Mus musculus: one gene and its partner. The protein of the gene in region 1 purifies or fractionates together with the protein of each later gene. This does not show direct contact. Links are inferred from orthologs where the notes say so. Each region holds a gene or a part of one and is shown on either strand. Other genes may lie near its edges.

Region 1 (4,394 bases):
CGCTGCTGAACATCGGAGACAGAGCGGGCTAAGGCTGTGGGATCAGGAGTTTGAAGCCAGCTTGGGCTTCATAGGGAGAACCTGTGATTGATAGAAATGGATGGACGGATGGATGGATGGATGGACGGACGGACGGACAGACAGACAGACAGACAGATTAGATAGGTAGGTAGGCAGGCAGATAGACAGGTAAGGGGCTGGTGAGATGGCTCACCGGGTAAAAGCGCTTGCAGCCAAGCCTGATGACCTGAGTTTGATCCCCAGGACCCAGGAGCGAAGGAACCAATTAAGGCTTCTAACTTGTCCTCTACCCTACCCCCCCCCACACACACACACATAAATAAATATCCTTCGCCCTGGCCCCTTGGCTTTTCTTGGCTGTGTTTCCTTGAATCACACACTCAGTCTGGCTGGATTTGAGACTTAAGCCAAGCCGGGAGTTGCCTGCAGCGAGAACCTTGGCTCCACAGGCAATCCAGGAAGTCCCCGCCTAGCTTGGGAGCTCAGCTAAGTACAGCCAGCAGCAGTTTTTTTTTTTCTTTTTTATGGTGCTAAGCCTTACTCAACTTCCTGTTGTGGGTAGGAGCCTGGGTGGTGTGAGCAACCCTCCAAACCCTCAGTTCCTCTTCTTCCCCCTCCTCTAAACTGTCCTTGAAGACTTACTGAATGAGGGAAAGTCAAATCCAGCAACAGATTAAATAAATTCTAAAATATCGTAAAACACCAGTTTAAAGAACCAAAACAAAAACTTCTCCAAAACACAGAAGACTCGGTGCTAGCAGGGCTGTGGGGAGACCCTCATCTGTTCCATGCCTTTGAAGGGCCGCGTGCTAACTTCTAATTCCAACAGCTTGTATGAGAGCAGACAGAATGTGGGGCTGGAGAGAAGGCTCTTTGCAGAGAACTCCAGTAGCCCTCAACCACCAAATAAATACTCTAGCTCCAGGGGACAGCATTTTCCACCACCCCAGGGCTCAAGTGTGTGGGCGCGCGCGCACCCAACCCATAAAAATACATCTTTAAAAAGAGAACAACACTGATGACCTTAGTAACTTGAAAAAGCAAACTTTTAAAGCCCTCTTTCTTAGGGTTGCCTTACTACAGAAAACCCTTTTTATATCAGTGGGTGACAGATTGGAAAAACCCACATACCACTGAGGAGGCTGGATCACTGGTAGAGCACTTGCCTAGTAAGTTCCAAGGCCCTGGGACCAAGACAGAACAAAATACTTTAATTCTAGTTGGGGTTATTTGTTATTTGAAAGATCCCGAAGTGTGCTCACCTTTAATCTCAGCACTGAGGAGACAGAGCTCTATGAGTTCAAGGCTAGCCTGGGGGGAGGGAAGGAGGAGGGAGGGAGGGGGAAAGAGAGAGAGAGAGAGAGAGAGAGAGAGAGAGAGAGAGAACCCGAGTCCAGGGGAAAGGAGGAGACCCTGCCTAAAAGAACAAAACAACCCAGAGTGAAAAAGAATCACCAGCGTACACCTTTAATCCCAGCACTCGGGAGGCAGAGGCAGGAGGATTTCTGAGTTCGAGGCCAGCCTGGTCTACAGAGTGAGTTCCAGGACAGCCAGAGCTATACAGAGAAACCCTGTCTCGAAAAACCAAAATAAATAAATAAATTTTCATTCACACAGACCTTTGCCTTGCACGCTTCATTGTGTGTCTTTGAGTGCCCATGGGTGTCGGGGTATTCGAACTCAGACCCTCAGGATTCCCCCTCCCCAACTCCACCCCTGTCAGTGCTTTTATTCAATGCTCCATCTCCCAGCCCCGCACATTCTCTTACAGTAGAAGCCCACGTGGTAAATCTATTCCTTTTTTATTGTCCACGTGAAGAAGTTGTTCCCTCCAAGTCGCCCCGCAGGGCTGCAGCTTCGGACCCCACCCCACCCTCCCACCTCATAAGGCCAGGTTCAAAGGAGTGCAGAAATAAGGTCTGCAGCAGCAGACAAGCAGGCACTCTGCCAAGTGTACTAGCCACATTTGGCAGCTAAGCCTCCAAATCTGGAAGGTCCCCATTTTCCAGGCAAGGCAAGTTGAGCTCTAGAGAGGCGAGGTGGCTCGACTGCGTCAGCAGCCACACCGCCCCAGGCTGGAGCTGCCTCGCGGGAACAAGCTTCATGGCCAGCACCTGGGCTGGCTCCCAGTTCAGGATTCCAGCCTATTTGCGGGCCCCACCGGGACCTGCCCTGTCCGGGGTGGCCTGGCTGGGTGCCCCTCGAGCCGCCAGGGTCCGCTCGCCCAAGCTGGGTGGAACCAGGAACCTGGACCCCTGCCGGGTATGGTCACTGGGGGATGAGGCGGGGCAGGGGTGCTAGCTCATTTCCCGGTCGCAACAACCCGGAAGGCTGCGGACCGAGGGGGAAGTGACTGAGCGTGGGGCCCTGCGCCCAAAGTAACGGGGCGACACGGGTCTCGGGGATCGAAAGCGGGGCCAGGAAAGCGGAGAGGGGGCGCGAGGCTGGGGCTGTGCCGTCTCGATGGCGTCGAGTGCGCGGGGAATCTCTGCGATTCTTCCCACCGCGCCCCGCATCCCCAGAACGCCGCCCCCCACTAGCTCCTTGCCAGCCCCACCCTCGCCGGGAGCCCCACCAGGCCCCCATGCACACGGCTCTCCACTCCTCTCTCATCCCCATCCCCCTCACCGTCGAACATCGCCTCGAGTCCCCTGACTTCTAGGTGGCCTCAGACACCACACACACCTCGCGACCACCCCGCGCCCCTCACCTCGGGTCTCCTCGGCCGCGGACTCTGGACAGTCGACGCGCCGAACCGGCTCTGAGACCCGCGCAGCGCCGCAGCCACTTCCTCGTGGGCGGGGGGCGGGGCCTTCGGGCACAGCCCCGCAGGGACCGGGGGCGGGACCCGGGCGGCTGTGGCCAGATCTCAGGGCCCGCCCACCCCTCGGGGTACTAAGCCGCCCGGACCTCAGTTAAGTCCAGCTCAGCCCAGAATTCGTTCGGAGATCGCACGCTGTTGCCCCTAACTACTTTCTGAATGGGGAAACTGAGGCTGGAAGAAGGGGGGGGGCGCTTAGAGGGCGGAAGCCCGAGATCGGGCAACCAAGAATTCAAAGGTTTTGAGGCCACACGCAGGCACCCCGCAACTTAATGACTCCTGCCCCGCCCCTCGCACTCTAGGTGCACCCCAGCCGTGGTTCCCCAGACTCTGTGTCCCAAAGATGGCAGAGTCGCTGGCGTCCAGGAAGAAGAGCACTGCCACTCCAGGTGACTTCTCGCTTCGGAAGTCCACACACTTCCCTCCAAGTTGCTGAGTAGCTTTGCAGTCAGGTGATGATGCTCCAGGGTCAAGGGTCTTCCAGGTTAGGTGCGTCTCAAGTTCCTTTTGCTGTGCCTCCCACCTTCTGAGAGCTCCTCTCTAGACTCCCAGCAATCTCCTGTATCACTAATTCTGGCTTAGAGGTGCCTGTGATAACCCACACCTGTCATCCCAGCACTGGGGAGATGGAGGAAGAGAGATGAGATTCGAGTTCACCCTTGGCTGTAGAGCTGGATGAAGGCCAGCCTGGGTTACATGAAACCCTGCCTCAAAAAAACCAAAGAAATGGGCCAGTAAGATGGCTCAGATGGCAAAGGTGCTTGCTGCCCAGCCTAAGGACCTGAATTGAACTCCCAGCACTGACTTCCACACACATGCCAGCCATAGTGAACTAGAGTGTGTAAACATACACACACACACACACACACACACACACACACACGCAGGGTAAGTAAATAAATTAATACTTTTTTTTTTTTTTTGAGCCAGGGTTTCTCTGTGTAGCCCTGATTGCCCTGGAATTAGCTCTGTAGGCCAGACTGCCCTTGAACTCAGAGATCCGCCTCTGTCTGTGTCTCCAAGTTCTGAGTTCTGGTATTAAAGCAGTGCATCATCATGCCTGGTGTAATAAAATACTCTAAGTTTGGAGCAGTTGCTGCAGTGAACACCCTGCCCATGTTCAGTGATTATGTATATGTGTGTGTGTGTATACACACACACACACACACATATACATATATAATGGTGTTGGGATTCAAACTCAGGGCCCTGCACACACAGCAGACGCTCAGTCACGGAGCTACATCCCCAGCCTTCACTTAAGTCTCCTTAAGTTTCTGGGGCTGGACTTGAAGTTACGTAGGCCTTGAGCTTGTGATTCTCCTGCCTCAGTTCCCCGTGCCACCAGACCCACCCAGCTCAGTAAGATTTAGCTCAGGTTTCCACGAGTCATCCTCCTGCCACAGACACAGAGGAGCCATGATCCTGCGCCCCCTGCTTTGCTGTTCCTGTAGGTTTGTATCTGTAGCCCTGTGGGTCAAGGGCATCCCTGGCTGGCAATCTGTCCGTGCTCGCTCAGCTCCATAAAAGCCCAGCAATGGCCCCAGGAGGC
Region 2 (3,646 bases), about 120 Mb from region 1:
CATGTTAGCTGAGGATAATTTTTGCTCTTGCTAACCAGCTGTCAGCTATTATTCCTTTCATGTAACAATGACTAGATTTCTCTCATTTCAGTCTTACATTTCCAGACAATCAAAGAATTTTGGAAAACTTCTCCACGTGCATATTTGTACTTACTGCCATGCTAACCTCAGCACTGACCGTAAATACCCAGCAAAGAATAAGAGCGGTTCCCAGAGAGCCTGAGCAGGACAAACCTTCCTCTTTCAATTGGTGTGTATGGCTCAGGCTGTGTAACTCAATCCAGTTTGGCAGTCAAGACAAAAAGACAGCTCATGCCAGGCATGGAGACACAGGGTTTGAAACCCCAGTGCTAGGGAGGAGGGAGACAGGAAAGTCATGTCTGGGCTCAAGCAGAGGAGGGAGGGGAAGGGAGGAAGAAAAGAGTTTGAAAAGTCCCTTTATTGGCTGTGTCATATTCCCAGCGTCCCACTCCTCCCTTCTCTGAGTCAAAGCTCTCAGTTATACACAACTGGAACGCGTTTCCTGCCGGGAGCAGGAAAGCAGTGATGAAGACATGCTTCATGGATAGGCAACAACTACAGGCCTTTTATGTGGGAAGGAAGTCAAAACACCTTACCCAAGAAGTTTATACCTTATACAGCGGCCGGCGCACATCTATGGGACAGCTCTGTATGACTTCATCGACAACATCCGAGATGGACTCCATAAAGTCTGGGTTGGCAAACTATATTTCATACGAATATGAAAGAAACATTATACACTTTCTCAAATAACACAAACTATTTTCAAACAAAATGTTAAGACTTCATTTTTACTTTTAGTGATGTACTTTGCTATGCGTGTGGGTGTGTCTGGGTGTGGGTTTGAGCATCTGAGTGCAGTGCCCGCAGAGACCAGAAGAAGACAGCATATCCCCTGGAGCTGGAGTTTCAGATAGTTATGAGCCAGTTCACCAGCTGGGCATTCACTGATTTTACACGCACAGTCACAAAACACTCTGGCTTAGTGTTACTTTCATACAGGGGTCAATGCACACAGTCCTTGAGATTTGTGACTGCTTTATTCCTACAGGTCCCTGGTGATCAGTTTCAAATCCATTTCTTCCATTGCTCTTCAGAGATCTTCCTCATGCCCAGGATAACCCCAACCTTAACTGTTAAAGTGGGTAAGCCTACAGCAAGGCGCTCCAGGCAACCATGCTGCAGAGGGAACCACCATGTGAAACCAACTTGCTCACTGGGTCCCTTTACTGGGAACTGCTGCTTCTGCACACTGGAGGGCAGCATCGTTCCACATATACTACTCAGTACACTCAGACATCTTACCTCAGGGTGAAAGAATATTTCTGGTCCCAGGAACCTTTCATAACCAACATCTATAATGAACTTCTTCTGGTTGATGGCATTGATCCCTGTGTACTGTTTGATCCACTTCCGAGGATCTACGTCATACTTAGCAAATTCTCTGACAATATCCGGGCAAATGTAGCAGTACTTCTCCTGTATGTACACAAAAAAGACATGGCCAAAGCATTGATAAGTACCAACGTCTCTGCCCTCTGACAAATACACAAGAACCCACATCTTACAGACACCTCTGAATTCATCTCTGCCTACACTGTAACTCTTGTGTGATTGACCCATCAAGCATGTGTCCTGCTGTCTTTCAGCTTAAGCATGACTACACTTGAATAGGTAAGTCTGTTTTCTCTGCAATGGTTACACATCACTTCCATGTTCTCCCTAATTCTGTTGCCATATTGTCTGAAATAATATCTATAAAACATCAGCTCCTTGTCTCCACCCAGGCTTTGCTTGCCCCCTCAGGCTCCCTGTCAGGTGCCAGCCTCACTTCGAGACCAGCAAACTAAGCTTGGCCCATTCTAGAATTCAGAAGTCAATTGCATGAGAGAGAGACAGAGAGAGAGAGAGAGAGAGAGAGAGAGAGGAGAGGGAGGGAGAGGGAGAGAGGGAGAGAGGGTGAGAGAGAGGGAGAGGGAGGGAGGGAGAGAGAGAGAGAGAGAGTGTGTGTGTGTGTGTGTGTGTGTACACAACGCATGCGTGCCTAAGGAAATGCTATCTGTCCTCCTGTTAAATGTTTGCTTGATCCCCTGCCCTTGCTGGTTAGGTATTCTAAGTCACTTGATCAACCCTGCAGATACACAGTCCATGAAACACTTAGGTCCCTCTCAGAGGCCATCTAGCTCAGAGTCAGACACTAGGTGACTGAAATAAGCAAACATCATGAGATCAGTTGGCAGCTACTATAGAATAAGAGCAGAATCAGGCGAGAGCACTGGGGCTGCCAAGAGATGGCTCCCACTGAGGAAAGGGAAACAAAGGCTGAGGGGAAACCTTGGAAATATTTTAGTCTACAAAGAAGTCTGAGGACATCTTTTCAAACCTCTCCCCACCATGGAAGGACCAGCTTTTCCCTTTTGCTTGAGGACTTCGAGTCTCCCCAGTCCTGGGAAGCCCAAGCCCACGAGGGAGAGACAGGTGGCATTTTTTTCTGTAGGAGCCATCCCTCTACCTGTCCCATCCCAAAAGGATTGTTCTCAACTAGCATCAGCCAAAATTCAGAAATCTCGTCCCCTGAAACTTTGAATTCAACCAACCTCCAGAGATGCTTGGCTGAGAGGAAACAGCAGGAAAGTTACCCCTCTATGCTGCAGCTCCGAACCAGAGCTGTGTGAGGTCACATGTCATACCCCACCTCAGACCCTTCTCCAGATTCAAACAAAATCCTCCCTCCTCTCGATTTATGATAACCAGCCTTGAACACTCAGGAATCTCTTGCATTTTGATTCTTTTTTAATGTTTTAGTTTTGCTAGATGAGAAGAAAAATTCCTTTTAAAAGTCTGTAACTGCCATGCCCACACCAATAGGAAGATGGGTGAGGTCAAGTAGACCCTCTAAATAATGACCTAAGAGTCACTTTGCTCTTTTGTTACTAAGTTCACATTTTCCTGTCACTGTCGTAGCATGTAACTGAGGTCTGGAGACAGGCAGGTGGATTCTGTTTAAGGACCCTGAGATCTAGACTGGCAGGGTTCTGAGGACTCTCAGGACACAAAGCATGCAGACACCTCTGGATTCCTGACAGCTACTGCTGCGACTCGCCTCCTGATTCTAAACGGAAGCACGGAGGGAGATGGGGAAGCAGCATGCAGCTAATTGAAGGTTTGGTTTAATTAGACTCCAATTAAACAACGCTCTACTCCACACACCGGTGGCTCAACACCAGCTCGGAAGCCGCTCTCTGTGTAGGAGAGCACGCTGAGCCTCACGTCCCCAGCACACTAAACTCAATGGCAAAACAACCAAAGCCCACACTCTCAGGGGATAGGAAGGGAGCAGGAGGGGCAGTGGCATTGAGGGGAACGTCCAAGCACCATCTCCCTCACCCCCAAACCAGCCAGGTTCCCTTCTGTTTTTACCTTGATGGCTTTTGCGGTTTCCAGTGACTGCTCAGGAGGGATTCCCACCTCCCTCTCCCTTAGCAGCTGTTGAATGAAATACGTAATATCTCTACCTGCAATTGGGATGTGTTTGATGCAGCTTCCAATTACATAACCTTCTGCCTGGAGAGGGGAGGAGAGGAGAGGAGGCAGGACAGCCACGTCAGTAACCACAGTCCAGAGC

Evidence for each region. The genes of interacting proteins can lie anywhere in the genome.
Region 2: the proteins of Arpc1b (region 1) and Actr3b purify together in Homo sapiens (affinity purification with mass spectrometry; 5 studies listed by BioGRID and IntAct, counting the BioPlex papers as one, with this or other methods). This does not show direct contact. The link is inferred for Mus musculus from reciprocal best matches to the Homo sapiens genes ARPC1B and ACTR3B.

Annotation. Positions count from the first base shown.
Region 1 is NC_000071.6:145,112,679-145,117,072, reverse strand, and holds the start of Arpc1b (actin-related protein 2/3 complex subunit 1B), read right to left. Parts: upstream 2,818-4,394; 5' UTR 2,732-2,817; intron 1-2,731. UniProt on the Homo sapiens protein: Component of the Arp2/3 complex, a multiprotein complex that mediates actin polymerization upon stimulation by nucleation-promoting factor (NPF).
Region 2 is NC_000071.6:25,829,465-25,833,110, reverse strand, and holds part of Actr3b (actin-related protein 3B), read right to left. Parts: intron 3,586-3,646; coding exon 3,442-3,585; intron 1,501-3,441; coding exon 1,327-1,500; intron 726-1,326; coding exon 633-725; intron 1-632. UniProt on the Homo sapiens protein: Plays a role in the organization of the actin cytoskeleton.